Macaca mulatta: one gene and its partners. The main gene of each other region encodes a partner of the protein of the gene in region 2 in a complex. Links are inferred from orthologs where the notes say so. Each region holds a gene or a part of one and is shown on either strand. Other genes may lie near its edges. The genes, in order: RGS8, GNAI3, GRM4, TRPC5 and RGS10.

Region 1 (6,043 bases), about 90 Mb from region 2:
CCATAGGCCAAAGCCCAACTTTCAGTGAGTTGGTTCATTCCTCGTGCCTCAGGATCATCAATCATAAAACACTCAGGTCACTGCCCTCAAAGAGCAATCAAGAGGACTTTTGAAAAATGGCAAATCCACGCAAGCCATTTAACAAGGTTTAGCAGGGGCCAGTGTAAAGGATGCTACTTGTTACCAAGACAACTGTGATTCTCCCAAATAGTTTGCAAAAATCTTCAACAAAATATTCTTTGGGACAAAATGGTTTTATTTTTCATCTTTCCAGCTCAGACCTCAATTATAATCTTCTTAGCTAGGTCTGAAATAATAAGGTGAGAAGTAGAAGTCAAAGGTTAAGGATACTTTTTAAAAAATAACGAGGCTTTCCCTTGTCTGTCTCTTTTCTACAGCCCCTATCCAAGGAACTCACAGAGATCCCTAAATGGTTCCATACAAGCTCATGCACAGTCCCTCATCCCACCCCATAAGTCACTGCCAAGCTGTCTCACCAGTCAATGGGAGGGCTTCAGCTAAGGCAGTTCCTGCTTGCAAGGCCACAACATTGCAAGAGGCATATAGACAAGAACCGTGCAGTTCACACAGGAGGCCTATGGGGACAGATGCAATTAGACCACGCATGGGCTAAGGAGGCTTGGGCCAGGCTCAAATAGCAGAGGGGGTGACAAGGTGGAGAAAAGAGGAAAGGGTCAGGGGCAAGAAAACAGGCCATTGATTCATTACCTGCGTGGCATCAGTAAGGCCGCCATACAGGCATCCGCTTACGGTTAACCCTTGGGCTGGTTTGCAGGGACGTCAGGGCAGCAAATAAGACTGCGGGGCTCAGGAATTTACCCTTGCACGTCCTCTCACCTAAAATCAAAGAATCTGCTGTAAGAGGGGCCACCCTCTCTCATCTGACTGCGCTACATTTCCTCTCAGACAGGTTTCCGCCAGCAGAACACCTCCCCACACACATCCCCCCAGGCCCCACAAATGTCCACTTGTCCTTAGTGGGGGCGACAAACCAAGGATGGACAAGAACAAATTGTTGGTGGCTTCATGTTGTTGATTATTGGTTAGGAGTTCCTGATTCCCCAACCACTGGCCATCAAAAATAAAGTGGGACGTGTGCCTCAGGGGAGGCGTGGGCCTCGCAAACCAAAAATTACTGTTCTCTTTCTCTTACTAAAGTGGGGCCCAAGTGACCAGCCAGCGGGGTTGGAGGAGGGGGTCAGTACTTGCTCCAAAATAATCTGATTGGATGCTGCTCTGATTCTCGCCTCCCTCCAAGGGCACCTGTCCCAGGTGGGAGTGCGTGGAGACTCGGGAAAGTGGGAGTGGGAGGGAGGTTGGAGGAACTCCAAAAGAGGCTTGTCAGGCACCGTCGCCACACAGGCTTGCTCCTCTGCAGGGATCACAGGTGCAGGCTGAAGAAATGAATATGCAAGTCACCCTTTCTCGCCCATATGGAGCCTACATGACCTTCCTCAGTCTGGGGACTGGCCTATTCTTGACACAAAGTAGGAAGGACATGAGTGTGGGGAGACAGGGGTCATTGACGTTGAAAGCTGATTGACTCACAGTCTTCCTCTCCTGAGGGTCCCATTCTCAGTGCTTCAAACCCTTTGTTCCTGCAGAAGACCTCTGATAGGAAGAAACACGTGAGGAGAGCAGCCTATCCATAAAGGGCTCCCCTGGGGAACTCTGACACCAAACATAGAACCCATTTTAAAAGAAACCTAATTTAGATAGATAAGACTCCTATGTCAGCTACACCATTTAAATTATTTTTATATTACCGTGACTATTTCACAAGCACTTTTTAAAAATAGCTTCTTTAATAATACTACAATTAATAAAATTAAAAGATTGCTTTTTGAAAACTAGAAAAAATAATTAGTTAGACTGTGTATGAGGGCCCATCGTCATGGACTGTGTTCCCCGGCTGCAGGGACATTTCCTTAATCTTTCTCCTAACCAGGCTTACACCTAGACCCCAGGAGTCATGAAGTCAAAGCTTTTGCAGCTGTGACGGTCCCTAGAAGTCATGTTTGGGGCACCTAGGCCTCTTGCTGTGGGATATGGCCTCAGGGGAAGGGGAAATCCATGCAGGGACCTTTATTATCCTAGAGCCAAGTGGAACCAGAGACGACTACCCACCTACATTGCAGGCAAGGTCATTTGGGGCAGGGGTTCACCCAGCCTTCTGTCCCCACCTTGTCTCTCTTCCCATCCCACTGCCAGCCCACACTAGCTTGCCCATGCTGTTCAGATGCCTGTCTCTCTCCTTCAAATCCTTCAAATCCAGCACAGCCCGAATTGCTGCTCAGACCCTCCACTACCCATTTGATGCGCTCAGCCACAGATGCCAGTAAATAAGAATCAGCAGGACACTCTGACCCAGCTGCCTTGCCCATCCCAGCACCTCAGGGCTTTTATCCCATTTGGCCCTGGACTTCTGAGAGTTAGAAGTTACCCAAAGCCCAGGAAGTTCAATGGTGTGATTGCCCGCACAGTGCATGTGCCCTCATAGATGGGCATCAAGTCACAGGTGCGTCTGGGGCAGACAGGACGAGACATAATGGGAAGAGGGGATACTCAAGAAAAAACAAAGGTTAAAAGCAAAGAGCAAAGATTTATAAAGAGGGGGAGAGAAACTAGAGCCTCTGCGGGAAGAAAGCAATCAATATGCATGAAGAGGCAAGTTAATTAAATATGGATAATGCAATCGGTGCACACAGACATCCCGGAGAAGAAAGAGAAAAGCAAAGGCAATACTCACTGTCTTTGGCCAGTCCTCATGGCCTGAGGGTCTTTGCCAACTGGGTGGTCAGAGAGGCTGCGGGTTAAGGCGCTCTGGGGAAAAAGTAGATCTTTCTTTTAGCAGTCAAATCCTCGGCGAGTGAAGGGCATGTGTGCATGAACACATAGGCGCGCACACACACATATACACACACAGGCATGCACAACACACCTCCCACCACTTGAGCCAGGCAGCAAGCGGCCCCGCTGAAAGCTCTTCTCTCTGCTTGTCACATCCAGTAAATACTGAAGCAGCCTACACCCAGCGGGCGGTGGCTCAGCTCCCGGGCACGGTCTGCACGCCCATCCTCATTGGCAGGATGCAGAAGGTGCCCCTGAGCCGAGCTCAGCCTCACTAACCTGAAGCTCCTCTGGTTGCAGCTCAGGGAGAAGTCCCCACAGCCCACAGCTGCCTCCCTCTGCACCCAGAGGCTGTGCGGGGGGCAGCAAAGAATAGGTATTAACTCTTTCCAGTCACCAGTGAGCTGAAAATCAAGTGTCCAGGGGGCCCTCTTCTAATGAGCCCTGCTGCTGGCTGAAGGTTGGCTGCTGCACTGGCAGTGGAGAGCGTAAAGATCTTGCCCCAGACAGCTGCTGACAGCAGGAGCCACTCCAAATCAAATCTCCTAATGAGTCAGGAGGAGGGGGGCTGTCTTGCTGGGTGTGATGTGATGTGATAAATGCAGAGAGCAAGAAAGCTACAGGGCAGGTCACACATCTAAATTCCACCCCCTTTCTCCAAATTTCTATTGTGCTGCACTACCAAGCCAAACCACACAGCCCTGAAATCGCCCTCTCTGCCACATCTCAGCTGTGCCCCTTACTCTACAGAGGCATTTCTCCCCCAGCTCATCTCCACTCCCACCCTAACCAGCACCAACCACACCACTCCCCACTTCTTAATGAGAAATTTCCACCTCCTCTGCCTTCCCAAACATGCATATTTCCAACTCTATGCTCCTGCCTCTCACCTGGTTTTTCCTACAGTAGAAACTCACCTCTCTCCCTCATCCATCACCTAGCAACTTCCCCCTACTTGCATTTGTTATGGAGTGAGACTTTTTCCTTTGTTCTGCCCGATCTGCACATGATCCCTATTTTTCTGTCTTTTCCATTTTTTTTTTCTTCCAAACCTCCTTACCCACATGGGTCTTCACACTGCCTTCTTCAGTTCCAGAAGGAGGACTCTCTTCCTGCTTGCCCTAGTGTAGTGGGTCTCCAAGCATGGTCCCTGGACCAGCAGCGTCAGCATCACCTGAGAAGTATCAGAAATGCAAATGTTCAGGCCCCACCCCTAGACCTACAGAATCAGAAACTCTGGGGACAGTAATCAGCCTTCCAGGTGACTCTGATGCATGCTAAAGTTTGCAAACCGCTGCCCTGGGAGAAAGCTTGTCTTCTCATTATGCTCTAGGTCCCTAAGGCTGAGTCTATACTCCCTTTCAGGAACTAGCTCTAAAGACACATAGCCTTAGCTGCAAACCATTTCTGAAACCCAGAAGGCAGCAGAAATCTCAACAGAAAGTGATGGCTTTATAATAATGGAAATGAATTCCATTTTTTCATCCTTTTTAAATGTATAAAGCATTTTCATGTATTGTCACTCAACAATCCTATGCCATCGTCACAGAGGGTAGTATTATTATTCCCATGTTACAGATGAAAAAACCGAGGCCAGAAAAGGTGATGTACCTTTATCAAAGTGACGCAACGTGCCAGAGGAGGCACAAGAACCAGAAATTAAGCTTTATGACTCTAACAGCAGAGCTCTTTCTACTATATCATACCAGGACCCAGTCTTTCTGGGCAGATCTATTGGTGCATAACCTGAATTCTCTCAGTGAAATGATTCTGCCGCAACTACTCACTGCCTGATGATAAGATGAAATAAACATTCTGATGCTGCCTCCACAGTGACTCATTGTCTCTTTCTGATATCGTCCACAGTGCCCCTCTATTAAAGAAAGGGAACTTTGTGTTATAAAATGAGAGGCAAAAGAAAAGTTTCTCATTTCTTATTACCCCTTTCTTGAACCCTGTTGCTAATTGGGGTTTAGAACTTCAGCAGAAAGAGAACCCTTCATTTCTGGACATTTTCTTGGTACACTGCACCATAAGAAACTGGTACACAGATAAACTGATGAATAAAAGCCCATTGATAAGCACTCCCCTAATTCAAGATATGTTTCTAGAATAAGGTGAATCCACATAGCTAATGTTTAATGAGCAGTTAGTATGTGCCAGACACTATGCCAAACATTGCTTTGAGTTATCGATTTAATTTTCAGAACAAATTTACAAAGCCAACACCTTTATCACCCCTCTTTTACAGATGGAGAAACAGAGACATGTCATTTAAAAGTGGCAGAGCTAGTATCTAGCACCAAACCTGATGCTTCCAGCCTCTGCTCTGCTCCTCACTTTAACACAAACGTAGTGCCATCATAGGACACTTCCTACCAGCACTAAAACAGTAGAACAAAGGTCTCCTCCAAATCTCTTACTGCCCAGGCCACTATCCAGGGGGTAAAGGCCCCGAGGAAAGAGAGCAGGGCTGCAAATGGGCCTGAGTCACAAGTGGAAACTAATCAATATTAACCAGGCATCAGAATCTTCAATTAGCCTTTGGAGAAATAATATAGTCATAGGAAGTCAATAAGTCCAATGTTTAAAAAGAGCTATAGTAAACAAGAAAAATGTAAAAGAAGTAACAGGAATATAAAGAGCAGAAGGAAAAAAAGTGTGTGGACATGAATAATACAAGGAAACAGAACATTAAAACTAGTCCAAACTTTCTTTTTTTTTCTAACCAAAACACTCCTAAATGCCAAGGAGTAATCACAGAGGACCACAGTTTGAGAAGCACAGACCTAGCGCAGGCCCCTCTCCCAAGAGGACACCAGCATAATCTTCCAAAGAGGCCAGTGCATAATTTCAAGGAGAATTAAGCTGAACCTAAAGTTAAGCATTCTAGCATTGTCTTCTTTCCTGAAATAAATAAACAGAAAAGGCAAGCAGGGTTAAGTGCTCGTGAGAAAGGAATTCATCACCTTGGACTCTGTAGTCCCCAGGCTTAGAGCTCTGCCCCAGGAATGTAGAGCTCTGGGTTCTTTTCCGGCTACTGCTCCTGACTTGCTAGGTGGAGTTGGCACAGGACATCTCAACTGGCCACAACTCACGTCTCTTACAGGAACACAGTGATTGCAAGCCCCGCTCCTGCCTCTGGGCTGTCCTGCCCCCCTCTGCACTTCCC
Region 2 (5,280 bases):
AAAAGAAGACCTGCACTGCTTTGTGTTTTAGCTGATACTTAGGTCTAATGACGTATACATGCAAATTGTTACTCTGTGATCTGTGTTTGAAGAAAATGATAAAATTTTTAAAGGCTAAACTCTGCTGAACTGGTTTAATGTATAAGATCAATAGTGACTAGAGGCCTACATTTCCAGAGATGTTTTTGCCCAGAAATTGAAAGAAATAAGACACAGTTGGTGATTTCTCAATGTATGCTTGAAAGGAATTATCTCTTTATGACCCAACTCTTCCTTTGGGTTGATCTTGCACAATTCTTTTTGATCTTTGGTCATGACACCTGAAATGATGTAATCACAAGTTGGCTTTAATATAGGGTCATAATACAGGTTTTAGGAAGGCTAACATCATATATTTCACCATGGAAGTCTCAAGGGGAGACACACCAATAACTTCAATTTACTCCCCCATTTTCTCTACAAAGTCTATACAACACTGTGAAGTTCCAAGGTGGGCTTTTAGCACATATTAACATTTACAATATCATTCACTAAGAGATCAACATTTCATAAACATTACCTCATTAACTGAGAGGCAAGTAAGCAATTACACAATGCCTTGCATATGGTAGATGCTCAATAAATGTTTGAATAAATGGATAGTAGTTTTGCCTAGAGAGAAGAGGAAAAGGAAGAAATGATAGTACTTCATAACAAGATAACTACATGCCAACAATCAAGTAGGTGTGGCACCTTAATTAGATCTGGCTATTGATTATGGCATAAAAAGACAGGACAGTTAGGATTTGCCTAACTAAAGATTGATCTATATAACAACACCAATAAGAAAGTTTCCAACACTAAATAATGATCACAACTTTTAATTATAAGTAGATTACAAACCTTATACAAAGAAATCTCATTCTTATCATCTTATGAGTGATAATCCACGTGGTCTTTGCTGCTCTTGCTAAATAAATTCATCAGTACTAACGACAAGCAGCAAGTCTATTCTAAAAGCATTCAGAGCTGAACTGCTATTTTCCTGCACCAGGAAAAACTCTAGTTTAGTGTATTAGGATTTCAAGACCCTGACTGGTATCTAGTAATAAGTAAACCCTATGTGGATTTCAAATCCTGTGTAAGAGCTGGTTTCAGACCAAAAACCTGACAGGCTCTGAGGTAGTAGTTACATCTGTATGCAATAATGCCGAACATCACATTCTACATATAAGCATAATAACATAACTAAAGAACACATGGTATATTGAAGGAGAAAAGTTTACTCCTAATCTCAAAGGTCACAAAAGAAGAAAATAGGAACCAAAAAAACATTTCTAATATTTATAAAAGACCATTAACACAGAGACAAGCTGAGGCTTGTTTTAGAATTACTAATGCTGCCAGGCATGGTGGCTCCCAGCATTTTGGGAAGCCAAGGCGGGCGGATCGCGAGGTCAGGAGATAGAGACCATCCTGGCTAACACGGTAAAAGCCCATCTCTACTAAAAGTACAAAAAAAAAAAAAAAATTAGCCGGGCGTGGTGGCATGCGCCTGTACTCCCAGCTACTCAGGAGGCTAAGGCAAGAGAATTACTTGAACCCGGGAGGCAGATGTTGCAATGAGCCAAGATCACACCACTGCACTCCAGCCTGGCGACAGAGCAAGACTCCGTCTCAAAAAAAAAAAAAAAAAAAAAGAATTACTAATGCTAATGAGAAAGTTATTTGTATTAGAATACTAGAATTTTCTCTCTCTCAAACTATCACAGTTGGACTGGGCATGGTGGCTCACACCTGCAATCCCAGCACTTTGAGAGGCTAAGGTGGGAGAATCACCTGAGCCCAGGAGTTTGAGACCAGCCTGAGCAATAAAGAGAGATTCTGTCTCTACATATTTTTTTTTGGTAAACATTAGCCAGGCACAGTGGCATGAGCCTACAGTCCCAGCAACTTGGAAGGCTGAGGCAGAAGGATCACTTGAGCCCAGGAGGTCAAGGCTGCAGTGAGCCATGATCACACCACTCCACTCCAGATAAGATGACAGAGTAAGACCCTGTCTCTAAAAAATAAAATTTTAAAAACAAACCAAAAAAAATCACTGTTTAAATGTCATCTTACCAACCCAAAACACCTCTATCCCCATATTTCTGCACTGTACTAAGAACTTAATTGTACATGACACTACGCACAAATTACTTCAAGAGCCATGATAATACTTGCTCCATTCCATTCAACTGGAAGGGAAATTCAAACCAAAAAGAAGTGACACTGGGGAGAAAAACATTCCTATTTTAATATCAAAATGGCAAAACAAAACCATGTAACTAACCAAAAAAACTGGTTTTCATAAGTTCAATATTGTTACCCTATTAAACATTCGATATCTGTTTTGGTGAGTCTAACAAGCAGCTGAAAAGAATAAAATTAAAACAAACCAGTTATCACAGGAAAAATTTTACTGGGAGGCAAGTTACAATTTATTTTTGAATTTAAATTCCTCTAAATGGACACAAACATTTGATGCTATTTGGAGAAACAAGAGATGTTTGGGCCCCCATTCAGTTAAAATATTCAAACAATGCTGATAAATAGGTTAAGTTTCTAAACCAAGGAATACTGCCCAGAGGAATTTTGCCCTGATTAAGAGATGGTAAACTAAAACAAAAGATACTTGTATTTGGCACACCTAGCAAAAAGGCTAATGACTTACTTGAAGTATAGGTCTTTGAAGGTGAAATGCGTTTCTACAATGCCTGTGGTCTTCACTCTCGTCCGAAGAACATCTTGCTGAGTTGGAATGTAGTTAGACTGGGATATTCTATCCAGATCATTTAGATAACTAAATAAAAGACACACTTACTTTTACTTGGTGAAGCCAACCATGTGCATAGCAAATCAACAGACTAAATTAGTTCCTATTCTAAACCTGTTACTAGTTACTAGAGTGGCAAAACAGAATCAGATCTTCAGTATCATAGAAAAGATAAGAAGCCAGGCATGGTGGCTCATGACTGTAATCCCAACACTTTGGGAGGCCAAGGCAGGAAGATCACTTGAGGCCAGGAGTTCAAGACCAGCCTGGGCAACATAAAGAGACCCCTGTCTTTACAAAATATTTTAAAAATTAACTAAGCATGGTGGTGCACGCCTATAGTCCTAGCTAATCCTCCTACCCTTGAGTGAAGCAGGAGGATCACTTGAACCCAAGAGGTCAAGGCTGCAGGGTGCCACTGTACTCCAGCCTGAGTGACAGAGTGAGATCCTCGTCTCTTAAAAAAAGAAATAAATAATAAGAAAAAATACGAATCCAACATAGGACAATTAAAGTATAGAGTCTATATACATTAACAAAAGTAGGTTTTTTGTTTTCTTTTCTTTTTGTTGTTTTTTTTTTGAGACAGAGTCTCACTCTGTCACCCGGGCTGCAATGCAGTGGTGTGATCTCGGCTCACTGTAACCTCCATCTTCCAGGTTCAAGTGATTCTCCTGCTTCAGCCTCCTGAACAGCTGGGATTACAGATGCTCACCACTACGCCCAGCTAATTTTTTGTATTTTTAGTAGAGATGGGTTTTCACCATGTTGGCCAGGCTGGTCTCAAACTCCTGACCTCAGGTGATTCGCCTGCCTTGGTCTCCCAAAGTGCTGGGATTACAGGCGTGAGCCACCGTGCCCAGACACAAAAGTAGGTTTAATTCTACAGAATTAAACTGTGAAGGCCAATTTAAAAAATTAAAACAATAGGAACAGGAAATGTTTTTAGTAAAGAAAAATTCCTGAAATGTAATACTAAATTAACTGTGTACTGTATAATACCAAAACCAAACTATACCAAAAGTCCTCAGACAATTAAACTTAATAGGTCATGTGTGTTTAACTATTTGACAGGACATTAGAGAATGGTGTTTGATTTACTAAAATTAAGAGAACTATAGTGAGTAAGAATATTTTCCGTTTTCTTTCAATAAACAGAAGAGTTGGGGAGGTTTGGGGGTTTTTTAAATCTAAACCAAAAACAAATTGTAAATACCTCCAAAAAAAATTAATTTGTTCAGGGAAATAATTAAAAGACTGCTTCAAAACTATATTCTTTGCTGATTTCAGGCTAGAAAACTGATGAGCAGATGGCACCAATATAAGTGAATCATTAATGATCTATAAAACCAAATACTATCACTAATGTAAAGAGGCAAACTTAGATCAACTGTTAGGAAAATCTCTATAATGTAAGCACATGTAGTTAGAGGATTCAGAGCTTTCTGAATGAATGATGAAAAAAAGCAATTATAATCTACTTTTGTTGACCACTGGTAGAATTATTTAAGCTCTCAATACCTGCAACTAAAATATGTTATTAAAAGGTAGGCAAGAATCCTGAAACGTTTCTAAAGTCAAGTTCTCACTGAAAGAATAAGAAAGTTTTCAAATACAGTCATGCGCTGCATAACAATGTTTTGGTCAACAACAGACTCCATAAATGTATGCTAGTGATCCTGTAAGATTATAATGGAGCTGAAACACTCCTAGTCCCTAGTGACATCATGGGCCGTATTACCCTTTTATATGTTTAGAGATGTTGAGATATACAAATACTTACCATTACGTTACAATTGCCTACAGTATTTAGTACAATAACATGCTGTACAGGTTCACAGTCTAGGGGCAACAGGATATACCACAAAGCTTAGGTGTGTAGTAGGCTATACCATCTAATTCTGTGTATGCATAGTCTATGATGTTCACACAATGACAAATCACCTAATGATGCATGTTTCAGAATGTATCCCTGTCCTTATGCACAGCCTGACTATATCATTTAATTTCTTCTTGTAACAATTTAAGCTAGAATGATGATGTGAAAAGTAGGAAAACAATAATATTGGAGAAAAAACCTTAATGCTTAAAAGTACAAAGAGAAATACAGATAACAAGTGCTCACTAGGCCCCGCAAAAGTACATTTAAAAAAATACATTCTGGGCTGGGCACGGTGGCTCACTCCTATAATCCAAGCACTTTGGGAGGCCGAGATGGGTGGATCACGAGGTCAGGAGATCGAGACCATCCTGGCTAACACAGTGAAACCCCGTCTCTACTACAAATACAAAAAATTAGCCAGGTGTCATGGCGGGCGCCTGTAGTCCCAGCTACTCAGGAGGCTGAGGCAGGAGAATGGTGTGAACGTGGGAGGTGGAGCATGCAGTGAGCGGAGATCGCGCCACTGCACTCCAGCCTGGGCGACAAAGCGAGACTCCGTCTCAAAAAAAAAAAAAAATTCTGAATCTAGGTTTTATAAATAAGT
Region 3 (5,889 bases), on a different chromosome or scaffold from region 2:
CTAGGAGAGAGGACACATCTATTGGCTGTAATTATTCAGTTCAGGAGTCTGTGGGTTCTGCTCCCATCTTTTGCTGCCAGCTGTCCCCCTGCGGCAGGGCGGGTATGGGTGTGGCCGCACATCCTGGCGCTGGACTGTGGACCCCTCAGGAAGTGGGTGGGGGCTGCAGAGCCCTTCTGGGCCTGAGCCCGGCCCTCTGACCCTTCTGGATAGCACACTGCTCAGTCCCGGGCTCACTCATTTGCTCGCTCGCTCTCTCACCTACCTCGGGCTGCCTGCCGCTGTGCAAGGCGCTCCCTCCCAGAGACGTCACGCCTCCAACGGAATGAAGCCGCCCAGACGCAGGTCGGGGGAGGAGGGAGGAGGGGGGGTAGGAGGAGCGGCCTACGCAAGGCCACTGAGGCCCAGAAAGCAGCTCAACTCCTGACATGCTCCCACCTCCCCTCGGCCTGCTCAGGACCTGTGCTTAGTGAGGAGCTACATGCCGCGCCCCCCCTCCCCCCCCCCCCGCAATATATCTGGCTCCTGAAAATGCCTGAGAATCCATGAGTAGAGTAGAGCCCTCCTTTGGGTTAAGCACTGCCATCTTCCTCTCCCATCTCTCTTAAATGCAGATGCCCCTGGAAAGGGTAGTCCCTGAAGTGGCTAAGGTGTGGGGTGCGAGGGGATAACTTTTAGGGTATTTTTGTCCCTGACAGCTGTGAAGGTATTGGCAGGTAGGCAAAAGCTTATGTGTAAAAGGACGGAAGTTGGAGGAACATGAGACAGTGGCCACCCAATTCACAAGCAGACATCACGTCCGGCCCAGGGCTGAGCAGAGGCTTGGAGGCACCATCCTCAAAGTCTCCTGCCCACCCCACCACAAAGACAGGATCTGACTAAGGGCTGGTGAGGCCTTCCAGGAAGTGGGAGAGGGGACAAGGCTCCAACCGCAGCCAGGCCCATTTCGAGGACTGGTTCAACAGTCCTCAGGGCCTACCAAGAAGAAGTGATGAGGCCCCTGCGCTGTGGGTGATCACACCCCGGAGTGCCCAGACGCCTCTGCGGAGTGCCTAGACGCCTCTCTAGTCCTCCCCTCTTCATGGAAGCTTCCCCCTACCTTAGGTCGGAAGGCCCTGAGGCCCTTCTGGACTCCGAGGAGCTGAGCATGCAGACCCACAGTCTGAGGCCCAGCATCCCATTGGGATCCAGGGGAAAGTGGGGCGAGCCCAGGACACATCCCGGGAGTGTGGGGAGATGGGAATGAGGGCATTCTTCACGTCCACCATTGGCTGGCCCCGGGGCGGGAGGCTGAGCGCTGCAGAATGGTAGGGTGTGGGATGGGGTGCTCCCTATGGAGACCCTGGGAGCACTGCCCTCCCCGCCTGCCCTAGGCCCCCACTCACCCCATAACGGACAAGGTGAGGGACTATGATGGAAACACACTCCCCTCCCTGCTTGTCACCTCGGGCTTTCTGCCAGATTTACACAGGGGCAGCCACCGCTCTGACAGACACGTGGCCTCGGGCACCCAGCTAGGCAAGCGCAGCTCAGTTGGTGTCCGGAAAGGCCGTGTTCTCCCGCGCCAGGGGCCGGGAGGGGAGAAAGAAGCAAGGCGCCTCCTCCAAAAGGGAATGAAAGTCTGAGGGCGGGATGTCACTCGGGGCCTAGGGGCAGGGGGCGCTCGTACGTTCGGGCCTCAGGACTCCCTGCCGCCGCCGATGCTGCTGCCCCATCTCAGCACAACAGCCTCAGACCGCCCTGGTGCGGGGGCGCCTCTCGCAGTCGGGGCCTCCACCTCCCGGCCCCACCCCCGCGCGGGGAGGAGACGGCTCCCACCTGCGAGCGCCGGGAAAGACCGACCCCGCAGCGGGGACCCCCAGCACACACGCGCATACACACATGCACACACAGAGACCACGGCCGGTCCGCTCGCCCGGCGGCCGCGTAGACGCGCGGGTTCATCAGGGTCCCGGGGAGGGACGGTCCCGAGTGTCCGGAAAGAGCCTGGCCCTGAAGTCCTGGGGCTGCGGGGAGACCCCAGACCCTGGAGAGCCCCACAACCCGCCGAGGCCACGGGCAAGCGGTTGCCGGGCTCCGGTCGGTGGCGAAGGCGGCGCTGGGGCGGGCACGGGAGCCGGACGCGGTGCCTGAGAAAGGAGCCCAGGCGCGCGAGGCTGGGTGCCCTCTCACCGGGAGACTGCCGGGAAGAGGTGCAAATAATGCCCCGCGCCCCCGCCTGTCCTGCCTCTCCGCAGACTGGGATGCGCTAATGCCGCCGCCCCCACCTGAAAGCTGGCACGACCCTCTATCCTGTGGAAGCCCCTGTATGCAGAGACAGTACTTTCCACCGGGCCCGCAAAAAAAGCCTCTGCCCCATTCCCTCCCTCAGGGGCATCCGGAAAGCCTGCCTTAGCCCCAAGGGGAGACCCTCTAGTTCAGGTCCCGAGCCCTCCGGCCCCTAGGGCTCCAGGGGCGCCGGCTCTCTTCGGGGCACTCCGAGCGCGGGAGCTCGCCGGAGGCCACCTCCCTTAGCCCCGATGTCCCCGCCGCAGCCCTCGCCCCAGGAGGCCGGAGGGCACGGTCCCCTCTGTCCGTCCCCCTCGGGCCACAACTCACCGCGCGCCAGCAAGGTTTAAGCCGCGGCGAGGGGTCGGCTGCGTGCCGCCTGCCCCGGGGGCGCAGGCAGGCGACAGCCGGAGGCACGGTTCTCGCGGTGCCCAGAGCCCGGGCCGCGGCGGGCGGCGCTGACGCTGCGGACCGAGCGCGCCGCGGAGCCGCCCGGAGTCCGGGACGCAGCAGGGATGAGCTGACGGCCGCCCGGCCGGAGCCGCCGCCAAGCGCGCGGCGTTCGGCTGCTGCTCCGGCAAGTAAGCAAGCGCGAGGGGGATCGGCGGCAACCCCTGCTCCTGCTGCGGCGGAGCCCGGCGTCCGAGCCGGAAGGAGAGGGAGAGGCGGCAAGGGGAGTGAGTCTGGCCGAGAGCTCCGGGCTGGGAAGGGAGCGGAGCGGGAGCGACCAGCGAGCGCAGCCGGCCGAGGTGCGGGCGCCTCGCGGCGCCGCGGCAGCGGCAACAGCAGCAGGAAAAAAAATGAGAGCGAGCTAGAGAGCGCGCTGGAGAGCGAGCGAGAGAGAGAGCGAGAGACGAGAGAGCGAGGAAGGCGCTGAGAGGGGAGGCTGCGGGAGAGGGCGGGAGCGCCGGGAAGCGCAAGGGGGCGAGGGAGCCGCAGCCGCTGGCCCCGGCGCCCACAGCAGCTGGTGCACCCAAGGAGGCGCGAGCCCAGCCCCGCAAGTTTGCGCTGAAAGTGCCGGCCAGGCTCACGGCGCTTCCGCCGGCCTTTTAAAGAGAGAGCACCTGGAGCCCATCCCCTACCCCACACCTCCACCTCCGGAAGGCCAGGGCTCTCGCGGCGCTCCGCCACCCCTCCACACCCGACCTGCTGGCAGCTCCCCTTCCACCACACCCCACCGGCGCCCTCTTCCGGAAGCCCCCCTCTTCCTCCTCCCAGTGCGCCTGCTAGCTCGCCTACCCCGAGGACATGGCGGGGACCCTTTCTCACCCCAGAGGGGGAGGGTCAGGAACATAGCCTCCCCAACACACACCCAGAAAAGTACAGCAAAGCACAGGGACGCAGAGGGGCGCGCTACTCCCACCCTGGTGCGTCACTGGAACCTCACACATCCGCGCGCACGTGTCGTATGCCCCCATGTGGCATGTTCATTTGCACACCCCACTGCTCCTGGTGCAAGTGTATAACAAGGGGAGAAACTAAGGCCCAGTGAGGTGATTCCATTTGCCCCAGATCTCACAGCCTGTCCGAGGGACACTTTCCACAGAGCCCCCTTACCACCTAAGAACCCCACCAGGCTAGGGAAACACCCCACCCGCTGGTCTCCCTCCAGCACTGGTTGGCAAAAGTGTAACAGGTGGCCTCCTGGTTGGCAGGCTGCAGTGAGACTTGGGAAGAATCCCTTAACCAACCACAGAGCCAACTCGCCTCCTTCCTGGAGGGGGCTTGAAAACTCAGTTGGTTAGAGGCAGGCAGCAGGGGAAGTGAGGGAGCCACTGCAGCCCTCTTAGGATTGCAAGAGCATCTCGCCCCAGACTGCAGAAGTGGCTTCAATTAGAGCCATGATGTGTGACTGTCCTTGTCCTGGGGAGGGCGCACAACACTGTGCCAGGGAGCTGGGGGAAGAAGGCGGCAGAACTGGAGAGGCTGGCCAGAGGCCTCCCTCCCCATCAGTACTTCAACCCCCAGCTGATCTGCCAAGTGCTACCTTGTGCTTGACGATGCTCAGGCCTGGCAGGACTCTGCCACCCTTACAGCTCAAACCTAATTTCTACAGGGGAAATTAGGTGAGGGGAATGTCTGGGAGGGTCTGTGAATAACAGGGACAGACCCCCACCGCCTGCAACGGGACTGCCCTTTCTCCCTCCTTGCCCCTTTTCAATGCTCCTGCCCCTTCCTGAAGACCTGCTCAGGCTCCACCTCCTCCAGAGCTCCAGACTATGCTAGGCCAAAACCACGTCTCGTTCAGCATCGTTTGGCCATGGAGCCTGGCACCATGCCTGAACGGTAGCGTAAGCTCAAGGATTGTTTGGTGGGTGAATAAATGTTGGCAAAGCTTGCACTCTCTTTGATGTCACATGTAATGGCCCAAATACATGTCTCATTTACCCAATCAGTCTGAAGTCTCTGAGGGAAGCACCCAGATTGTCCATTCATTCATGCTTTTTTTTTTTTTTTTAATGAAAACAACACTGACTGAGGTCCTGCTCCATTCCCAGCTCTAGGTGTACACACGTGACTGAACGCAATTCTGCCCTTGAGGAGTGCACCCCATGGTCATTCGGACCCCAGCACCACACATTTTGTAGAGATATAAGCAAAGGCCGTGAAAGTTCCTGCTGCCCAGCAGCTCTGCCCAGCCAAGTGTGCACTGCTCTGGGCTTGCAGGGAACTCAAGTTATTCCTGGAGAGGCCGTGTCCTTGGGAACAGCCTGCCTGGGTTCAAATCTGTGTCACGTGTGTGTGTGGGTCACATTACCCAAGGCCCTCAGTTTCCTATCTGTAGAACAAGGATTATGACACTAATCTCAAAGCAGAACTACAGGTATGGGGTGTGCATCGTTCACTGCCAAGAGGCCACCCAGTTGAGAGGCCTCAGGGCAGCTCAAATTCAGCCTGCCTTGGTCTTGACAAGTGACACATCCTGTCTTGTGGCTGTATCTGCCCAAAAGATGGGGTTCCTTTTTCTGATCCTCTCAGAGGTACCATATGGACTAGTGCCTGGGGCCCTGCTTACAAGGTGTTCATGAAAACAGAATGAAATAATGTACGCGCAGCACCTAGTCCTGTATTTAGGCACCCGTAAGTGGGAGCCACTGAAATTTTTAACAGAATCCTCAATATACTTTTGTTGAATGAATGAATGAATGAATGAATGAATGGACTAATTACAGTGACAATAACATGAGCCATGGTTTATTGAGAGATAAAACAAACCCAGCCACTCTCCCCACCCCCTGCCCCTCAGTGTTGCTTTCACTCTGGCCATAATTACCCCACCCCCCGCCCGCCACCAGCTGTGTCGCAGAAGGCTGGGCAGGCTATATTTTTCAGGGGTTAAAAAAAGAAACACTGTTGGCTGGCAGATGGCTGAGTTTGTGGACTCGTCCAGTTCGCAGGTTCCCAGCCTGAGGCCTAGCTCTTCCGGGCAACATCCTGACCACCCCAGGCCTCCAGACCATCACAGTGGCCAGGAGCTCCGTCAGTGGCCCTCACCTGTGGGCCCCCACTTGTCCAGCTGGGGCACCCTCTTCTCACTCTTGTTCTCTCTGCTGGGTCGTGGCTGACTTGACTTGCCATGGAGACAGACTCAGAGACCCAAACACAGACTCACACACACAG
Region 4 (5,280 bases), on a different chromosome or scaffold from region 2:
ACATAATTTACACATGCAATTCCACTGCCCCAATGAATATTAAAACTGCAACCTGAATTAGGTTATCTATACCTAGAATTGCCATTTTTATAAAGCAATTAATTAAAATGAAGATGCTCTTTTCTCATATTTTGACACTTCAGCAATATGCCATTTTTTTCTGATAAAAATATTTCAAATTCAGGCTTTTATCTTAGAAATTCTTTGATAGCTATGATAATTAAAACTATCAACAGTAGAGTAGGACCCAACAAATATGACAACTATTTATCTTGCCAATGTATGAGATGTGGTGACTATTGGTTAGAGTGTAGTAGACGTTTTTAAAAAACAGCACAAATTCTAAATACTAATTTTGATACTATCAAATTTTAAAATGTAGTAAGTTGACTGAAACACAAACACAGAAAAATAATTCACCTAACTTATTAGATATGACATATACTATGGGGTAAATATTTCATTGGCACACATTAGGAAACTAACACATCTTTAAGAAACAAGAAAATTCAACAGCCCTCACAATAAGAAGTTGTAGTATTTAAGAACGAAACAAGCCACTTATACCTAGAAACCACAAGCTGACAATTCTTTGGAATCTCTTCAGCCTCCCTTTGATGCTGTTCATTGACCCAGCATGGGCAGCGTGTAGCACTGAATGGCAACAAAGATGGGCAGGGTAGTTTGCCTTATCTGATAGCTGGTGGGGACTGCTGACCACATCCCTCAGCTCTGTGGGAAGATGGCATGAGATCCTGAGGATGGTCAGGAATCTGTGTAGCAGCAAGAGTAGCAAAGTGGCACCTGGGGCTTCAAGGAAGCATGGGTGAGAAAAGCAAAGCAAAAGGGTTAAGCACCCAACTGCACCTCTGCTGATTAGGTGCAACACCCCTTCAGTTGGTTGTAAGATGGACTTAGTGTGTACAGGTATTAAAAAGGCAAATAATAATGAAAGTAATAATAAAACAAGAACAAAAATGGAGAATGTGGCTATAAAAGATGATGCAAATAATAGGAGTTTCACTCTCCTTTCTTGGGGGCAGGGGCAGTGAGGGAATCATATTCTGTGTCACCTCTGAGAGCAAGGAAATTACAAATTTCTGTTGAGTTCCAAAACAGATGATTAGGGCTTGACTTAGAGGCGAGTTGTAACTTGTTCTTCCTGTCCATCACCCCATTTGTGCATGAGCAAGTCACAAGCCTCTCCCCAAGTTTCAAATACATCCTCTGAGGAGTCTAAAAGTTTAGAATTTGAGGAGCAGATGCTGGATGCACAGTGAAGAGAGCTGGAACAGGCTAGAGGGCATTCACTGCTCTGAGCAGCGCCCTGGACTTCACCTAATTCTACCTCACTGAGGTTAATTTCACTTTGAGAACAGGCCTCTGCTTTCCCTTTCTCCATCTGAGAATATCTGATGTCCTGCCACATACAGTGCTGCTGAACAATTCCATCAGAAATTGTGTACATTGGCTCTGAACTGGGTTCAGACATATGACCATTAAATTTGGAGAACAGGAGACCCAGTTTCTTGAGAGAAGGACCCATGAAGGAGCGTTTGCTTGATGACTCAGCTTTTGACTTTCCTTGGGCACCACTGGACCTTGGCATGGTTCTGATGAGAGGTGGCCCATGGCAAGCCTTTTTCTTGCAGCCTAAATTAAAAGAGACACTCTTGGATTTGGCTCGAGCCCCACCACTGCCATCATTAGTATCATCTCTCTGAGAGAGTTCAGTGCTGCTAGTGGAAAAGCTTCTCCTTGGGTGTTTTCTATTTCCCAAGAGGTCAAGCACTTCATACCGAAAGCTGGAGATGTCTTGCTTTAATTCCTAGGAAAAGAGAGGAGACATATTATGTCAAGAAACTTGGTCTTTATTTCAAAGTAGGCACATTAGATACCTTTGGAATGTTCCAGGTTTTTGCCTAGTAGTAAATCACAAAATAAAACACCAGAAAAATCTGCCATTATTCAAACACAAGAAAAACATATTAATAATTCCGTGGGCAGGGCTGGCCACTGGCAAAATTGTACAATGGGTAAAGTTGATTCAGGATTAGCTAACACTTTAGTAGGGATTAGTCTGTTGAGGCGCTTTCATAAGGACTAACTCCTGCTCAAGTATTAACTAACAAGGTATTAGATTAGGACACTGGCTCTCACAGGTGTCTGCATATAAAAGGACTACTGAAGAGGAAAAAGCTTTTAAGACTCTAACGAGTGAAACTAGAGAAGTGGAATGTCAGGTGATGAGACTGCTGTTTTGAGACAGGGGGCCCTGTTCAAACCTTTATGAAATGTCTTCTATCTCCAACTGAATGCTTACATACTAGACTGTTCTTTAAAAGCCAAGCTGAAATTTATTCATGTACTTCCCCTGCTCAAAACTTGTTACTAACTTGTCACTAACTTTAGGAAAAAATAGAAATGCCATACCATGGACTACAAAGTTTTTCAAGGCCTAGTACCTGTGCTTTTTCCAGTCTCATCTTTCTACTCTTTTCCTAGGCTCTCTGCTGTCCACCTGTATGGACATATTCTCCCTTGCCTCTGGGCCTTTGCCTGTGCTGTTCTCTCTGTCTAGAACACTCTTCTCCCCAGCTCCCCTTTATCTGGCTGGCTTTGCTTTCAAGCCTCAGCTTAAGCATCACTTCCATTGGAAAGTCTGTCTTGACTCCCCAAGTCCCAGTTGAGAGTCCCTCCTCTCTGTGTTTCCACAGTGGCCTGTGTTTAACCTGTCAGAATATACAATTGTTCATCACCCTTTATTATTGTTTGTCACTCCTTGAGAGTAGGAGCTGGTTAGATCTTGCTCACCACTGTACCAGAGCACGTAGAAGAGTGCTTGGAACATAGCAGACCCTCGGTAGATGAATTATGTCTATGAATTAGAATAATGGCCTTCCTGTGTGCCTTAGAAAATATAGACGTTCATGGACACAGGGAGGGGAACATCACACACAGGGGCCTGTCGGGGGGTGGGGGTTAGGGGAGGAATAGCATTAGGAGAAATACCTAATGTAGATGATGGTTTGATGGGTGCAGCAAACCACCATGGCACGTGTATACCTATGTAACAAACTTGCACGTTCTGCACATGTATCCCAGAACTTAAAGTATAATAAAAATTTTAAAAAAGAAAAATATATATAGATGTGTTCTAGGATAGGATTTCTCAGTCTTGGCACTATTGACATGTTGGGCTGGATACTTCTTGTTGTGGGAGGCTGTACTATTTATTGTAGGATGCTCAGTAGCAACCTTGTCTTTACTGTCTGGATACCAGTGTGACAACCAAAAGTATCTCCAGACATTGCCAAATGTGGTTTTGGGGACAAAATTACCCCTGGTTGAAAACGGTTGTTTTAGGCTAATGCCACTAGTAGAATTTTAATGTTTAATGGTAGAGTTTCTTAAGACCTTATATTTAATAACAGATTTATTATTATTTTTTAAAATTATACTTTAAGTTCTAGGGTACATGTGCACAACGTGCAGGTTTGTTACATATGTACACTTGTGCCATGTTGGTGTGCTGCACCCATCAACTCGTCAGCACCCATCAACTCATCATTTACATCAGGTATAACTCCCAATGCAATCCCTCCCCCCTCCCTCCTTCCCATAATAGGCCCCGGTGTGTGATGTTCCCCTTCCCAAGTTCAAGTGATCTCATTGTTCAGTTCCCACCTATCAGTGAGAACATGCAGTGTTTGGTTTTCAATAACAGATTTTTTGATTTTATATCTTTTAAGTAAAGAAGATCTTTAAGTCTCCAGGCATCTTCCCTTTGCTATCTTGTCCCTCACCACCATGCATCCTTGCCACATCATTTAAAGCATTCAATTTCCACACTGAGAAACACTCAGAATATTAAAAGAACGCATACAGCAGATTTCCTTCTTTCAGGACACTGATTGTGGTGTGACATACATTGGTAAAATCTCTCGGTCTACTGGATGAGAGACAATTCTAAGAGAATAAGCATTATAACTGGGTTTGCTATATCGTAAGCAGATGAAATTCCATCACCAGAAACCTCACACACTGTGAAGATTAAATGATGCTTATGATATGTAAAATGAGAAACCACTTCATGATTAAATTACCTTAAAATTTTCTTCTGTTAGCCCCTCATTTGTTTTGGAATTTCTTATCATAGCAGCCACATATCTTTTGACTAAATTCCTGATAACTTCCTGGAATTACAAAACATGAAGAGGCATTCAATCTCCTTCTCAGGCTCTCAGTACAATAAGAAACTTACATAGGAAATAAAACATGCTTAGACCTCCTTTCCAGTGGAAAATCCTCATAGGATCCAGCCTTTTACTATAAAAAATGAGTTAAGTCCATTGGCTAAACAACTATTGTGTCTCTGAATTTAGTGTCAGAATCAAATTCACCCTAAAGGAAAATTTTTTACCCGAGCATAAGGTAAACATGTATTTCCAGTGGAATAATTCTTGCATGGTCATATAGTTAATATTATTTTCCTTTAGGATGGATTGCACGTTAACACTCCTAGTAAAATGAGAGTTTTATTCTCCTTTTATAAAATTGAGAGAATTTTCTTCAGAGTCACTAAGTCTGCTGATTTTAATGTCCACTAATTACATAGTGAAGATATTTTTCTCATAGTCAACCTACACTTCTCCTATACAGGAATGTCCTCTTTTCACTTAGCTCCCAGGGGAGTAGTCTGCACGTGGTCAGTACAGTTTGTATTAGTGATGGTGATGATGATAGCTACCGCTTATTGCAATGTGTCAGGCAACACATGCACATAATACATATTATACATACTCATCACTCAATTTTCACAACTCTGTAAGTTAAGTTTTATTACTATCCCCATGTTACAGATGAGGAAGTCAAGCCTCAATAGGCTGACTCATCCAATGTTACACAACTAGTAAGTGTCAAGATTAGACTTTCATTCTACTTCAGTCTGATTTTAAGGCCAATGGTATTGCTGCTTCTACTATGTGTACTTGAGGAACTCACTGAGATGTGCAGGAATCATTTTTTTTTTTTTGTTATCGTTGAGGGCTATGAAGCAGAACATGAAGACAATGAATCTTATTTAAGGTTTGTTATTATAAAAGGAATAACATTTGAAGGCGGGAGTAGGGAGAGGAGGTTTACATACAAAATACCGTACTTTCTGCTTCTCTTTGTTAGTTATGGTCTAAGGGGAACAAAGTTAGGAGAAGTGACCTATAGAATAAGGATGCATTTCCTTCAAACGCTGTAGAACATTTTTCTACTTTGGTTTTCTTT
Region 5 (5,793 bases), on a different chromosome or scaffold from region 2:
TTCTAGGCCTCGCTGCCTCCCACCCTTGGCACTTGACAGAGCAGCTTGTCTGAGCAGGAGGGAACCATTTCATTTCTCCCTGGAGGGCTGCGGAGGCCACTAAGGGGCAGGGACTTGTCCGGAGCCACCCATTGCAGAAGGGGCAGAGAACTCAAGTCTTGGACCCAAGTCCACGGCCACCTAAACACAACAACCATTTAGCGACTTTGCTAAAATATATTTAGAGAATGAATGTGGAGCTGACAACTTTCCTCCCTTCCTCCATCCCTCTCTCCTTTCCTTCCCTGCCTCTGTCCTTTCCTCCCTCCCTCCCTTCTTTCCTCCCATCCTTCTTCTCTCTAGTCAGGACATTAGAAACAAACAAAGCAATCATCAAACACCTTTATCATTTCACATAGAAAAGGACATTTTAACACCTCCAATCGTAGGAAAGATATAATCTCAGGTAAAGAGCTGTCCTGATCCTCTAGAATCTAGAGGATTCTAGATCCTCTAGAATCTTCTAGAGGTTGTCGCTCCTGGGGAGAGACACTGGGCACCTGAGGGACAGAGGTGTGAGGAAGACTATTACACCACACTCCCTTTTGTATGTCCTGAACTGTGATCTTTTTCAAAGCAAAAACAAAACAAGCAACCCAAGACTGTCCTTACTCTACCAGCACAGCTCACTTGGTAAATATTTCCTTGTCTTCCTTCTCGTTTATGCCTGGACTAGTGAAGAAGACTTCCGACCAGCCTGTGGCACTGTGGGCAGGCGACCACCTGGGAACGTCTGGCCTCCTCTCCTCAATTCATTTTAAGTTCCATGAGAAAATGGGCCCGCCTTTCATTTCTGGCATCTTTCTCTGTGTTTTTCTCTCCCGCCAGACAACCTGGGGTTGAATCCCAGCTCATCCACTTCCTTGCTTGCTTCTTTGTAGCAAATTTTTTATCTCTCTGTGTCTCAGTTTCCTGATGTATAAAATGGGGCCCATGAGGAAACCAACTTCCAAGGATTGTTGTAAAGTTTCGATGAGACTTGTAAGTGCTCAGTAAATGTCAACTTTTTTTTTTTTTTTTTTTTTTTTTTTTTGAGACGGAGTTTCACTCTCCTTGCCCAGGCTGGAGTGCAATGGCATGATCTCAGCTCACTGTAACTTCTACCTCCTGGGTTCAAGCCATTCTCCTGCCTGAGCCTCCTGAATAACTGGGATTACAGGCATGCACCACCACGCCGGCTAATTTTGTATTTTTAGGTTTCTCCACACTGGTCAGGCTGGTCTCAAACTCCTGACCTCAGGTGATCTGCCCCCCTCGGCCTCCCAAAGTGCTGAGTTTACAGGCGTGAACCACCACGCCCGGCCTCAACTATTTTTAATAGCTATCCATCCTCCTTTCTGTGCCCTCTACCCTTAGCCTGGTGCCTGACTTTGCTCATTCCTTAGCAAATATTTATCACTATAAAATATATACTTGAGTACCAGACATCATGCTGACCCTGCGGAAGACGCAGCCCTTGCTTTCAAGAAATGCACCATCCACCTGACTGACCTTGGAGGAAAAAGTCATTTACTTTGCCTCCAGGGAGGGCAGGACAGATTGAGCAGAGTAGGAGAGTGAGGGCAGCTTTACGCAGAAATGTGAGGCCCCAGAGGACACACAGGGGCTTCTGGAAGTGGAGAAAATCGATGACAGGGTCTTGTTTTCAGGCTAGGGCTGCTGGGCCGTTTTCTTTTTTCTGGCCTTTGCCTAGAAAGTGGAGAGTCTAGGGAGGCTACAAATAACAGTTCGGCGTTCTTATTTCCTTCCCTCTGGTAGAAACTGGAAACCAGTGGCCATCTGTTGTTTAGTCCACTTAAAAGAGGATGTTGAGGCTTGTTTTTTCTTCGGACCCAAGGGTGCTGGGGAGCCCTCCAGTCTCTGCCTTTCTCACACAAGGCGTCTCTGGGAAGGCAGTGGATTGTTGGTCTTCGTGGAACTTCTCAGGTGGACCCCAGAGCATGGAACGTAAGGAATGGCCCCCACCCCTTTCCATGTCGGCAGTCGCCTTGGCCCTGGGTGGGGCAGGGGCTGGGAAGAATGTGCTGTGAGGACACAGAGGTGCACAGGTGACTTTGGAAGGGCCAAAAGGAACACTTGGCTTTCTGTGAGGCCTGTGCCCTCGTGTGCAAACGCCACGATGCCCTTTCTGAGTGGAGCCAACCCTCCGTCACCTGCTTTCCTTCTCCTGACTTGGATGCTGGCTATTACTATGATTATTGAAAAACTTTTTTCACTTTTGATGTTATTTCCTGCTAACTGCGGTTCAATCAAATCTCCCCAGCAGGGGAATTGCATGCAGGTGGGGTAGTTATTCTCAGCAGCTAGATACTGGAGCCGATAAACACTTAAGTAATATTTAGATACGATGTTTCCATGACCCAGTTTCTCAGGAGCCTTACACAGATCACCAGTTGTAACAAAATGACTCTCTGATTCCAAATTGGGAGGACGTTGTAAAAAATGTAATATACTTGATGTGGCATAGGTGACAAGAGGTTTTAAATAAGTTTTGTGGGGTGTGTACTTTCTTTGAAACTTCATTACAAAATAGAGTATTTTAAAGGTGCACGCCTGTGCATGTGAGTTGTACCAAACCACTTTGGAATTTAGGGTTAATATCTCTGCCTTTCCTGGACTTGAATGTTTAATAGCCTGTGAGTTTGAGGGAGTACTTAGGACAAACCTTCTGAGGATGTAAGTTGACTCTGCTGTTGAGGAAACTGGATAGTGAGATATTACTAAAATATTATTTGACTTGGAGAAATTGTCTATGCAGGATAATTACACAGACCTTCCTGCAGATTAACAGCAGAAATCCATGCTGTGAGCATTCATCTCTGATGAGTGTTACAGATGCCTTTTGAGTATGGATTTCTAAGGAATTAATGTCTGGAGAAGGTCTCTGTTAGATATGACATCATAGCATCTATAAATAATGCATCATAAAATAAGCTCCAAGCAACCAGCCCCAGCCATCTGCACTGTGATGCTTCACCCATCCTTGAAATAATGGCTTTTACTGACGCCAGAAGCCACATAGGGCAGCATAAGCATAAATGGAAAACGGATATACATTGTGTTTGTGTGCTAGATGATTCCACCTGGTCTTATGTGACTTTTTTTTTCCTGCATGGATTGGACTCTTACCCAGTTTTCTGTTTTTTCCCCAAAGTGTGATTGTTCTTGGTCTCTTAAAGGCTGTTGTGTTCTGGTCTCTTTGAGTACAAAGATCAGCAGATATAAAAACTAAAAATGGCAGTAGAGCCTTTGGTAAAGAGCATGTACTCTGGAGCAGGAGTACCTGGGTTTGGGCCATGATTTCCCATTTTCTAGCTGGGACCCTTGTGAGTTACTGTGCCTCAGTTTCTTCATCTGCAAAGTGGAAATAACCACATCAGTAGGTTATTGTGAGAACTGAATTATTTAATTCAGGTAAAAGCCTGGAACAGTACCCAGCACGTTGTACATCATTTGCAAGTTTTTCTTTTTTCTTTTTATTTTTTTGAGACAGAGTCTTGCTCTGTCACCAGGCTGGAGTGCAGTGGCACGATCTCGGCTCACTGCAACCTCCGCCTCCCGTGTTCATGCAATCCTCCTGCTTCAGCCTCCCGAATAGCTGGAATTACAGGCGTGCACCACCACACCTGGCTAATTTTTTGTATTTTTAGTATAGATGGGGTTTCATCATGTTGGCCAGGATGGTCTCGATCTCTTGACCTCGTGATCCGCCCGGCCTCTCAAAGTGCTGGGATTATAGGCATAAGCCACTGTGCCAACCTTTTTTTTTTTTTTTTTGAGACAGTCTCGCTCTGTCATCTAGGCTGGAGTGTAGTAGCATAATCTCGGCTCACTGCAACCTCTGCCTCCTGGTTTCAAGCGATTCTTCTGCCTTAGCCTCCCAAGTAGCTGGGACTATAGGCCACCACCACCACACCCGGCTAATTTTATATTTTTGGTAGAGACGGGGTTTCACCGTGTTGGCCAGGCTGGTCTTGAACTCCTGACCTCATGATCCGCCTGCCTCAGCCTCCCAAAGTGCTGGGATTACAGGCATGAGCTGCAGCGCCTAGCCTTTTTTTTTTTTTTTTTAAAGATAGATTCTTTTTCTGTTGCCCAGGTTGGAGTGCAGTGGTGTAATCTCAGCTCACTGCAACCTCTGCCTTCCAGGTTCAGGTGATTCTCTTGTCTTAGCCTCCCGTGTAGCTGGGGATTACAGGAGTGCACCACCACACCTGGCTAATTTTTGTATTTTTTGTAGAGACATGATTTTGCCATATTGCCCAGGCTGGTCTTGAATGCCTGGCCTCAAGTGATCCACCCACCTCAGCCTCCCAAAGTGCTGGGATTACAGGTGTGAGCCACCATGCCTGGCCCATTTGAAGTATTAACCATTATTATTAGCTAATGACAGATTAGTCTGAAAATAAATTTGCTGAAAAATATGCATTTTGCATGCAAAAAATTTGAAGATCTAAAATGATTTAAAGAGCCTAGAAGCTAAGAAAACAAAACACCAAAAACTTTTATTCAAAAGTTTTATTCAAAACTTTTATTGCAAAAATGTTTTACAGCTGAAGTAAACAATGACAACAAAAATCAAACAGCATGATAAAATTGAAACAAACAAATATCACAGGCAGGTCTTCCCTAGCTGGAGAGATCGTAAAACTGCTGGAGAACATGCTTGACATTTTTTCCACCTATTCATATCAGTCCTGCTTTCTTGTGTAATCTGTCTGAATCGGAAGCTTTTATCAATGAAAAGGGATAGAAGAATATTGGAACTTTGTGGATCCAGGTACCAGTAGTTGGGCACCTGGGAAATCTTGGTTTTGCTTTATTCTTAAGTTCAGAAGTAAACCTGTTTTGCTATTGAGAAAGAGTATTTATTTCTTCTAATATTACTAGACTGGTTGTAACATTTATGTATGTATGTATGTATGCATGTATGTATGTATTTACTTACTTTAACCTGCTTCCCCTTCCCCCTTGGTTGTAACATTTTTTTCTTTTTTTCTTTTTTTTTTTCCCTGAGACGGAGTCTCTCTGTCACCCAGGCTGGAGTTCAGTGGTGCAATCTCAGCTCACTGCAACCTCCGCCTCCCGGGTTCAAGCAATTCTCCTGCCTCAGCCTCCTGAGTAGCCAGGATTACCACTGCGTGCCACCACGCCCAACTATTTTTTGTGTTCCATGTTGGCCAGGCAGGTCTTGAACTCCTGACCTTGTGATCTGTCAGCCTCAGCCTCCCAAAGTGCTGGGATTATAGGCATGAGCCACTGCGCTGGGCCTCTTTTCTTTTTTTATGATTTTGTTTGTTTTTTTGTTTTATTGAGACAGCGTCTGGCTCTGCCACCCAGGCTGGAGTGCAGTGATGCAGTATCAGCTCACTGTAGTTTCTGCTTCCTGGGCTCGAGCGATCCTTCCACCTCAGCCTCCTGAATAGCTAGGACTACAGGCCCACACCACAATGCCCACCTAATTTTTGTGGTTTTTTGTTTGTTTGTTTTTGTTTTGTTTTGTTTGAGACGTAGTCTTGCCCTGTCACCCAGGCTGCAGTGCAATGGCGCCATCTCGGCTCACTGCAATTTCCACCTCCTGGGTTCAAGCAATTCTCCTGCCTCAGCCTCCTGAGTAGCTGGGATTACAGGTGTGCACCACCACACCAGGCTAATTTTTTGTATCTTTGGTAGAGATAGGGTTTCACCATGTTGGCCAGGCTGGTCTCGAACTCCTGACTTCGTGATCTGCCCACCTCATCCTCCCAAAGTGCT

Evidence for each region.
Region 1: the proteins of GNAI3 (region 2) and RGS8 are in contact, whole or in part, in a crystal structure (PDB 2ODE), measured with the Homo sapiens proteins. The link is inferred for Macaca mulatta from reciprocal best matches to the Homo sapiens genes GNAI3 and RGS8. Residues at the interface, in NP_006487.1 of Homo sapiens: Glu65, Gln68, Ser75, Val179, Lys180, Thr181, Thr182, Gly183, Ile184, Val185, Gln204, Ser206, Glu207, Lys209, Lys210, His213, Ala235, Glu236, Asp237, Glu238; in NP_001095920.1 of Homo sapiens: Thr76, Glu77, Phe78, Ser79, Glu81, Asn82, Ala117, Pro118, Glu120, Val121, Asn122, Ile123, Asp124, Phe125, Gln126, Arg128, Leu153, Lys156, Asp157, Ser158, Arg161, Arg164.
Region 3: the proteins of GNAI3 (region 2) and GRM4 are in contact, whole or in part, in a cryo-EM structure (PDB 8JD6), measured with the Homo sapiens proteins. The link is inferred for Macaca mulatta from reciprocal best matches to the Homo sapiens genes GNAI3 and GRM4. Residues at the interface, in NP_006487.1 of Homo sapiens: Ala31, Lys32, Val34, Lys192, Asp193, Leu194, Thr219, Phe336, Thr340, Ile343, Ile344, Asn347, Leu348, Cys351, Gly352, Leu353, Tyr354; in NP_000832.1 of Homo sapiens: Pro616, Lys619, Ala620, Gly622, Arg623, Glu624, Arg676, Ile677, Ile680, Phe681, Gln683, Gly684, Lys685, Arg686, Ser687, Val688, Ser689, Ala690, Ile694, Ser695, Pro696, Phe781.
Region 4: the proteins of GNAI3 (region 2) and TRPC5 are in contact, whole or in part, in a cryo-EM structure (PDB 8GVX), measured with the Homo sapiens proteins. The link is inferred for Macaca mulatta from reciprocal best matches to the Homo sapiens genes GNAI3 and TRPC5. Residues at the interface, in NP_006487.1 of Homo sapiens: Arg205, Arg208, Lys209, Trp211, Ile212, His213, Phe215, Glu216, Glu245, Leu249, Ser252, Asn256, Lys257, Trp258, Arg312; in NP_036603.1 of Homo sapiens: Thr27, Glu32, Glu33, Glu56, Ile57, Tyr58, Tyr59, Asn60, Lys125, Pro128, Thr129, Leu130, Met131.
Region 5: the proteins of GNAI3 (region 2) and RGS10 are in contact, whole or in part, in a crystal structure (PDB 2IHB), measured with the Homo sapiens proteins. The link is inferred for Macaca mulatta from reciprocal best matches to the Homo sapiens genes GNAI3 and RGS10. Residues at the interface, in NP_006487.1 of Homo sapiens: Val71, Val72, Ser75, Glu115, Val179, Lys180, Thr181, Thr182, Gly183, Ile184, Val185, Gln204, Ser206, Glu207, Lys209, Lys210, His213, Ala235, Glu236; in NP_001005339.1 of Homo sapiens: Glu62, Phe63, Ser64, Glu66, Asn67, Ala102, Ser103, Ser104, Gln105, Val106, Asn107, Val108, Glu109, Gly110, Leu137, Lys139, Tyr140, Asp141, Ser142, Arg145.

What each region holds. Positions count from the first base shown.
Region 1 is NC_133406.1:40,135,028-40,141,070, forward strand, and holds the start of RGS8 (regulator of G-protein signaling 8), read right to left. Parts: upstream 4,085-6,043; 5' UTR 3,938-4,084; coding exon 3,932-3,937; intron 2,845-3,931; coding exon 2,771-2,844; intron 859-2,770; exon of another isoform or gene 756-858; coding exon of another isoform or gene 730-755; intron 1-729. UniProt on the Homo sapiens protein: Regulates G protein-coupled receptor signaling cascades, including signaling via muscarinic acetylcholine receptor CHRM2 and dopamine receptor DRD2.
Region 2 is NC_133406.1:130,619,331-130,624,610, forward strand, and holds part of GNAI3 (guanine nucleotide-binding protein G(i) subunit alpha-3), read right to left. Parts: intron 2,822-5,280; coding exon 2,693-2,821; intron 1-2,692. UniProt on the Homo sapiens protein: Heterotrimeric guanine nucleotide-binding proteins (G proteins) function as transducers downstream of G protein-coupled receptors (GPCRs) in numerous signaling cascades.
Region 3 is NC_133409.1:148,143,901-148,149,789, reverse strand, and holds the start of GRM4 (metabotropic glutamate receptor 4), read right to left. Parts: upstream 3,654-5,889; 5' UTR 3,538-3,653; exon of another isoform or gene 2,562-3,537; intron 465-2,561; exon of another isoform or gene 262-464; intron 1-261.
Region 4 is NC_133426.1:118,497,589-118,502,868, forward strand, and holds part of TRPC5 (short transient receptor potential channel 5), read right to left. Parts: intron 4,197-5,280; coding exon 4,107-4,196; intron 1,829-4,106; coding exon 1,136-1,828; 3' UTR 1-1,135. UniProt on the Homo sapiens protein: Forms a receptor-activated non-selective calcium permeant cation channel. Mediates calcium-dependent phosphatidylserine externalization and apoptosis in neurons via its association with PLSCR1.
Region 5 is NC_133414.1:131,631,194-131,636,986, reverse strand, and holds the start of RGS10 (regulator of G-protein signaling 10), read left to right. Parts: upstream 1-1,916; 5' UTR 1,917-1,979; coding exon 1,980-1,986; intron 1,987-5,793. UniProt on the Homo sapiens protein: Regulates G protein-coupled receptor signaling cascades, including signaling downstream of the muscarinic acetylcholine receptor CHRM2.